2 linked regions of the Arabidopsis thaliana genome follow. The protein of the gene in region 2 interacts with the protein of the main gene of each other region in a pairwise test. Each region holds a gene or a part of one and is shown on either strand. Other genes may lie near its edges. The genes, in order: AT5G61570 and AT1G09160.

What was found.
Region 1: the proteins of AT1G09160 (region 2) and AT5G61570 interact in a protein complementation assay, tested with the Arabidopsis thaliana proteins (one large-scale study listed by BioGRID).

Annotation. Positions count from the first base shown.
Region 1 is NC_003076.8:24,755,986-24,759,915, reverse strand, and holds the start of AT5G61570 (Protein kinase superfamily protein), read right to left. Parts: upstream 1,728-3,930; 5' UTR 1,410-1,727; coding exon 890-1,409; intron 281-889; coding exon 1-280. Other genes in the region: AT5G61560 (U-box domain-containing protein kinase family protein), read right to left, coding at 3,410-3,595, 3,688-3,930.
Region 2 is NC_003070.9:2,953,902-2,957,831, forward strand, and holds the start of AT1G09160 (Protein phosphatase 2C family protein), read right to left. Parts: upstream 1,845-3,930; 5' UTR 1,583-1,844; intron 1,194-1,582; 5' UTR 1,159-1,193; coding exon 949-1,158; intron 871-948; coding exon 699-870; intron 607-698; coding exon 389-606; intron 262-388; coding exon 154-261; intron 71-153; coding exon 1-70. Other genes in the region: AT1G09170 (P-loop nucleoside triphosphate hydrolases superfamily protein with CH (Calponin Homology) domain-containing protein), read right to left, coding at 2,688-2,823, 2,905-3,368, 3,470-3,670, 3,766-3,929.

The sequences.
Region 1 (3,930 bases), on a different chromosome or scaffold from region 2:
ACTTCCTTCATCTTGATCAACTCAGGCGCTTTGTAACCCTCTGCAGCTGAAGCTTCTAGAACCTCTTGCCCAGCTGCAAGGTTCAAAAGCAAATGCAAGCCGAAATCAGAGACTCTAGGCCTAAAACTCTTGTCTAGTAGAACATTTTTCGACTTCAGATTTCCGTGAACAATCGGTTTCTGCATTCCTGTATGGAGATGATCAAGAGCTTTTGCTATTCCAATGGTGATACTCAAAATGTTGCTCCATTTGTGTGCGTCAACATCTCCACCTGCCAAAACTATGCTCTGTTTTTAAGACAACCTATTGAATATTGATTAGAAAAATTAATGCTGATGTTGATGCTCTACAGATTTTAAAGGAACGAGATCTATAAAGATTTTGTCTTATATAATGAGCAAACTAAGTGGGAAGTGACAAAAAAAAGTAGTTACCGACAAAAGTTAGATCAATAATGGTGATCCTAGAACAAAATAAACAAACTTACTTTTTTGTTTGTCAGAGATAAAAAAAAACAATTCCATGTTACGATTTATGAAAATGTAAAAGATAAGACGATTTCTTATGGATCGACTACAGTTACCAATATGATTCCATCTGACGAAGAAATCTTCGATATAGATATTTCAAAAACAGAGACATCTTATATAGGTAACGATAAGTGCGTTAAAAACTTTTTACCATTTACCCGGGAAAACGAGAACTCAAGACTCTGTTTGTTTCCCAGAAAACAAGAATCTAGGAGATTCCACGAATCAAGACAGCTAAAAAGAGAACTCAAGACATCTCTTTTGGTCCGAAAATTAAAAAAGTTTGTTCCTTTTAATCTTTTTCAGCTTCCTCGCATTTTCTCGAGAGAAAAAAAACAGAGTAGAAAACAGAGACTTACATTTGATGAACGCAGAAAGATTCCCGGAACTACCGAAGAAGGGATGAATCATAAGCTTCTCTCCTCTGTTGCCAACGTAAAACCCTAACAGAGGAACGAGATTATCATGTCGAACAAACCCAAGTGACTCAATGACGCCATTAAACTCCTTAGAATCTGAATTCACAGCACATAAAGGTCGAAGGAACCTAAGAACTCTAACTTTCCCACTTCTTTGTAACGTCGCTTTGTATAATGTACCGTAGCTTGATTTTCCGATGACTTCTCCTGGAGCATCGAGTATATCGCAGATCGTTAGATCTTCTCCACCGTTGAAGATGATAAGCTCCTCCTCTGTTTCGGATCCGTTATCGGAAAATTCTTGTTTCTCGTAAGGAGATTCGACGTCGTATTGAACTTCATTGGTCTCTGTTGTTGTTCTTCTACAGAAGATGAAGATTATGATGATGGCGATCATGATCAAGAATGTTGTTGGTAGAGATACTGCAAGTATCAGTTTTACCAAATGGGATTTTCTCATCTCATGGAATAGTGTTGGATTTTTTGGTTTTTCTTTTGTAGACAAGGAAATTGGATTTTGAGTATTAAGCAAGAGATTTAAAGTTGGAATCTTTAGGTGTGAGAATACAAAATGGAATAAGAAAAAGTGTATGAATAATTGAAACTTTATTTGTTTACAGTAGAGATACAGAGAGATGTGTAGATGGTATGTGATGGAGATGAAGTAAATGATATAGAGAGATCTGAAACATGTTTTAATTAGTTGTATCAATGTGGACTTATGAGTTGTTTTTGTTCGCTATTATTGAAAACTTGTGTGTTTTTATTCCCCTGCCAAGTTCTCAACCAATTGTATAAGTTTATGACCTACTGGTATAAACCAAATTGTATAGGTCAATTTATTGGAACGACTATTTTAACTTTGTCATATTAGAATTAGATTTTGGCATTGTACTGTGAAAACGTATTAAAATTTTGTTTCTGTTTTTGGTACGAAATCACCTCCCAAAAAAAAATGTTAGGAATGCTAATCAATCTTATAAAGGATGTATTTTTCTTGTGAAAACTACCTAACTACTCTTTACTAGACATTGCCTTTTAACTTTTTATGGAACCTTCTTTCTAGTTTAAGGAAATGAGAAATTAACACTTAGACTTAATGGAACCTTCTTAATAGTTTCCACATCATTTAAGAGCCAATAACAGAACTATTACGTCCAAAGTATACAAAAATTAGCCACAACAAAAGAAAGGTTAGTGTAGAGTTTCAATTAGAGAAAATCTTGATTATAATGACAAAATTATACTCCGACGTCGAATGGTCCTTTGATAGCCCCACCAATCACCATACGTATCAAATAAGGTGGTGGGGGGACCTTCATGTCACTCCCCTTTCAACAACCACAACTCAATTGCAACTTTTGTTTACTAAATTTTTTTAGAGATTTTTTACTTTGTTGTTTTATTTTTCTATTTGTATTGCATAATTTCCATTCTGATATTTAATCACTTCATATTAGGATAAAGTTCTTTTTCCCTATGTGTGCATGTGTGCAAACTAAACGACATATAGAATATAAATTATTGCAATGATTCTCTTACATAGTTACATATACTGTTTGTTGTTATAATGTAATTCTTATTACTTCTATGTTTTGAACATCGTTTGGTTTAGACATAATTCATAATTGACGTATAGTTCGAACTTATTAACGTATATTTGTTTACCTTTGTTAAAGTTTCTTCGTTTGTAACTAATACTATATGAAAAAAGGATAAAGGAAAAAGAAAACTCTATCATTCCAGGTAGATAAGTGCATGATAGAATGTGTGAACAATGCTCAAATGTTATTTTTGTAAATTCAGTATTCGTTTGGCTAGCCCATTTATTATTCTATAACCATATTTATGTCTTTCATAGCTATATCATATAGAACCCACACAATTTAATGGCCTAGGTGTCAGATCTCATCTCATGTATACTAAGTTACTAACCTAGTTAACAATTGCATATATTCAACAAAATCCAACATGACAAAACATACCATTTTAATATTTTAGACTTTTTTCACTAAGAAACCGATAGATGTTAGAGAAACAAACAAAAATACAAAATAGTAAATGATATGGGTATCTTCGTAGTATAAACGATAGGCCAACTTTTACGATACTATCTCATGTTTGATAATAAAATCATACACAACTAAAAGATTTTTAAAAAACGAAGAGTTTTCATATTCATATTGGATTGGATTCATATATGTTTTTCGTTAGTATTGATATGTATACTTTTATAAGAAAATACGACACAACAAAAATCAACACTATTATATTCTTCTTGCAAATATGCAGTCAAAACCTATAATACAATCAAACAAATAAGGTAAAAAAAATTTACACACAAAAGCTCGAATATTTCATCAACGTTTGTGCGCAAGAATGGTATGACAAAACAAAAACCACAACGATTCATGTTAATTGACGAATTTAGCCGTATAAATTTAAGAACCTTTAATTAATTTATTTAATTAGTTGTGATCTCCACTCCTTGATTGCAGAAAGAAGAGAATGATTAGGAAGAAGAGAATCACTAGGAAAGGGCAAATCCGTCATTGGAGATTTATGATTCTTCTGAAGCCATTCCTTAATCGCTCTCTTCTCATACGTATATCCATCCGAAGCAACACATGGATTCTCCATCACATCCTAATTTCATCAATGACCCCATAAACCAAATCAAAACACATAACGTATCAAAAATCTGACATAAAATGTAAGATTTTCGTATCATTCATTACCTTTGTTATTGGACAGTAGAAATGGGTCGGAGCGTTATGGTGATGATCAATTAGGTTATCAGCAAACATGTTCCTTGCGATAGACGCAACTTCCTTTAACCGTTCAAGAACCGGCAAAATCTCTTTCCCTAAATCAGGACGATCACGCTTTCTCATCTCTGCACATCTAAGCCCTATCATAACCATCTCTTTAGCTTCCTTAACCGGCCAATCTCCAGCAGTTTTATCCAAGATCTCTGTAAA
Region 2 (3,930 bases):
CCACATCAGAAGACAGTATATCCCATATACCATCTGAAGCTATGATGAGTCTCCCTCCAGCATCAGGAAGCTGAACGTACAGATAAAAATACTTTTTGATCAATGTCAAATATAAGAATTAATGAAAAATGTACCAAGGGAAAGGGAGCTTACTTTCACTTGCTTAACGTGTGGTATAGGGACAATAAATTCTCCCACATCCGTATCACCAATGGACCTCGAAAGACATAAACCACCAGGCCAGCATCGTAGTGGGCCGACCTATTGCATTGGCATAATCAAAGCACATTAATATCATTGAAAATCCAAGGACTTCTTACACATTACAAACCCACCACAGCCAAAACACAATGAAACAGTAACTTAAATTCACTGGAAATGATCATACCTCATTGCCACCAAATACATTGAGTCTTCCGACCTCACCTCCACTAGCAGTTATGCGTTCTCTTTCTTCAACATTCTCTTCTAGCCTGTGATCAACAGTCAGTAGAGAAACCACACCACCTTGGGTGTCCAATATGCAGCGCGAGTCACCAACAGAAGCAACAGTAATAGTCCAACCATCAATTATAACAAAAGTCACGGTTGTTCCTGAAGTTTCCCCTGTAAGCACAACAGATCTTATCGGTTAGAGCATGCTTGAAAAACAAGAATAGAAAGCAAAAAGCCTTTAAAAAATAAGCATAAGCTAAGACCTTTCTGCTGAAATTCAATGTCAGTTTTCACAAAGCCAGCAACTAAAGCCCTAGGAAGAGCTTGAAGCCACTCATCCCTGCTTGCGCCTTGAGGAATTGCACTCACCACGTTTTCCAGAAGATGTTCCTTAGTATATATGGCAGCTGAATTACCATTGTGTCCGTCAAATATCTGAAGACAAAACAGAAAAAGGGTAAGCTATTCGTCACTAAAACAGAGAATCCTTAAAGGGAAGAATGCCTCAATTACCCCGAAAACTGAAAAAGCCGATGATGGATCACCAGGTACCCTTTCACAGTCAGTTTTGATCAAAAAGTAGTCCTCTCCTTTCTTAGCGAGAGCTGCTTGACCATACTTGACAAAAGGCTTCTCTACTTTCTCGCTCCTCAGCTCCCTACCAATCAGGGTCGCAAGAGGAACGAGCGAATGTTGCGTCCTCGATGCTTTTGACACGCTCATTTTAGTCTAGCCTTCAGCATTGGCTGGAACAAATTCTTTGTTCATCACAGAAAACAAAATTATTTAGTTGCTGCAAACATTTAGGGTTCAATTCTAATAAATAATACTAAGGAACCCTATAACAATCTATCTCCCTAAAAATGAGAACAAAATGGTAACCAACTTTACTAAATTTCGATTCTCATCCAAAAATTTGAGGTTTCTACGGAATTACTCAAAGATAAACTCTTTTTGGTTAATGGAACCAAACAAATAAAAAAATATAGAGAAAATGCAGAGGAAAACCCTAATCTAGAGAATTCTAGAATCTCCAACAATTGGCTATCTTTTGAGATGCAGGAAAATGTATCGAAAGTAGAATCGAGCAATAGCAAAATCAGTAAAAGAACACTAATTGAGGCTTCTTCGCAGTCAATAAACTCACCAAAATGAAATCGCGAGTAGTATACACAACAGATCTAGCAGAAAAGATGACTTGTAGATAATGCTAAGGTCGTCGCTGATTCTTCAGGAAAGAATTTCCGAGCCGTCTTCGGTAAGCGAACGGAAGTCTGAAACCGCGTGAGAGGTTTAAGAAAGGAGAAGAGAAACGAAGTTGCAGAGTGAGAGTTTTCTCAGATTGGGAAGAAACAGCGACGCGGGGGTTAGAGACAGCTAATTTTATTAAGAAATATGATGAACTTCTCGAAATTACTTAATTGCCCCTCAAAAGTCCCGCTTTAGGTAAGGAATTGTATTAGTATAGTTTTAAGTTTAATTATAGAAATCGTATATTCTTAAGTTTGATTATAGAATTAGTATTTTCTGCAAATGATTCGTGCAATATTTGTTTAAAGCATTTTTGTAATAAAAATAACAAATTTTCTTAAATACTTTCATAACGGACACATTTTTAGGGTAGGAGAATTTTTTTTTATTAACTTCTTTTTTCTTGGTCAAATTTTGATTTAACTAAATCTGATTGTGAAAAAAATCCGTATAGTAATATTTCTGTTTGGTTTTTTTTTATAAAAAAAATATCATAATGGACACAGTTTTCGATATGTGTTTGACTATTTGGCTAATTTGCTTGTAGCAGTTTTACATCACCATCCATCTAGTCAAACTGCCATCAAAAACTGATTTGGCTCTTATTAACTAACTAGTCTAGCTTAACAAAATATCAAACTATAAAATTGCTACATTGACAAATCATATTGTTAAAAAGTACATATAAATCGAGATTATGGAAAGTTTAAAACAGAAAATGTATAACTCTTGTGATGAATAAAATACATTAGCTTCGAGAAGTAATACTGTAGTAGAATACAACATCGGCCATAAAAAGAATGGAATATTCATTCTAGTAAACGCCACACAAATCAAACAAAACATATTCAACCTATAGTATAGTACAACTACAATCTATCACTCTCATACGTATTCTACTCTTCGTATACGGCGTCTGTATATATATGACCTCATAATATGAAATATGGGTCCGCCAATAATAATTGTATTCTTAAAATGCTCACAAAATGTTTTCATCATTACTTGGGATTTTGTCTCTTCTTCACAACTACTGTACTGTTGTTATGCCTTGAGGACGTTTGTCCTGGCGAGCTAATAGCCGCCCCAAGCGATAATGTCCTCGTAGGCGTCGGAATTAGCGAAGGTATCATACTCCTGATCATCAACATTATTACATTAGCTAAAACATTCTATTTTTATAAGAAAATCCAATCATTTATATAGTAAATAACTCACCTGGTCTCAGCAGCAACTCTACTTATTTTTGATTGATTCTTCTTTAGTTTAGTTGAAGAACCATTAGAAGCTGGTCTAGGCATATTCACTTGAACATTCAACTGCCACATCAAGTTAGTCTCCGAGCAATCACTTGTTGCGGTTTCATCTGACTCATTTGCTTCTTCTTCGTATGGAATCTTCCTTACCTCTAATCCTTTATCTACACTACTATTACACTTATTCTTATCTACACCTCGAGTTGCTTCACGTTTCAAGCTAGACGTTCGCTTCTCAAGCTGTGTATGTGCTCTGTTTTCAGGTTTGCTACTACGCGTGATTTCGTCCTCGTGTTTATCAACCCATTCACTTCCTGGTATAATAAATTCCATGTCCTCCTCTTTCCCATCTCTCGGCGGGGTTTTCCATGACGGTGAACCTACTAGTCCTTGTAAGTCAAGGCTAGATGCAGAGTCACTTTGACCCTGCAAGTAATTTCACTACACATCATGAAGTAATCACTGCAAAACGTATTAACAAGTTTGATTTGTTTTGTTTGGTGAATGAGTTTTCTTGTCCCCTTTACCTCAATGCTGTTGACATCATCAATCTGTGATGGCTTATGTTTGGTTTGGACCTGTCTTGTACTGTTTGCTGATTTTGAAAATGAAGACGAAACGCCAAGTGACTTTTTTCTGAGGAGTTTATCAGGAGTAAGGGGTCTTTGGAGCTGTGTTTGATCTGCCCCGCTCTCCTTTCTCGCTAGCGCAAGTTTCAAACTAGCAATCTGAAAGCAAATAACAAAGGTAACTGATGATTTGGACAATGTATTTTGAGAGAATGAATAGTATAATAATGTGAAGAGAAGTATATATGGTGGACCTGTTCTTTGAGTTCTTTAACCTCAGAAGTGTCCTTATTGACACGAGCAGCACCGAGGTCAACAGTGGCCACCCTCTCTGCAAATTTCAGGGTGCTGAGTGTTTCTCCCAAATCTTCTAGTTCAGGGCTAATGTGAATAAACATGAGCGTTTTCGCTTGTCCTCC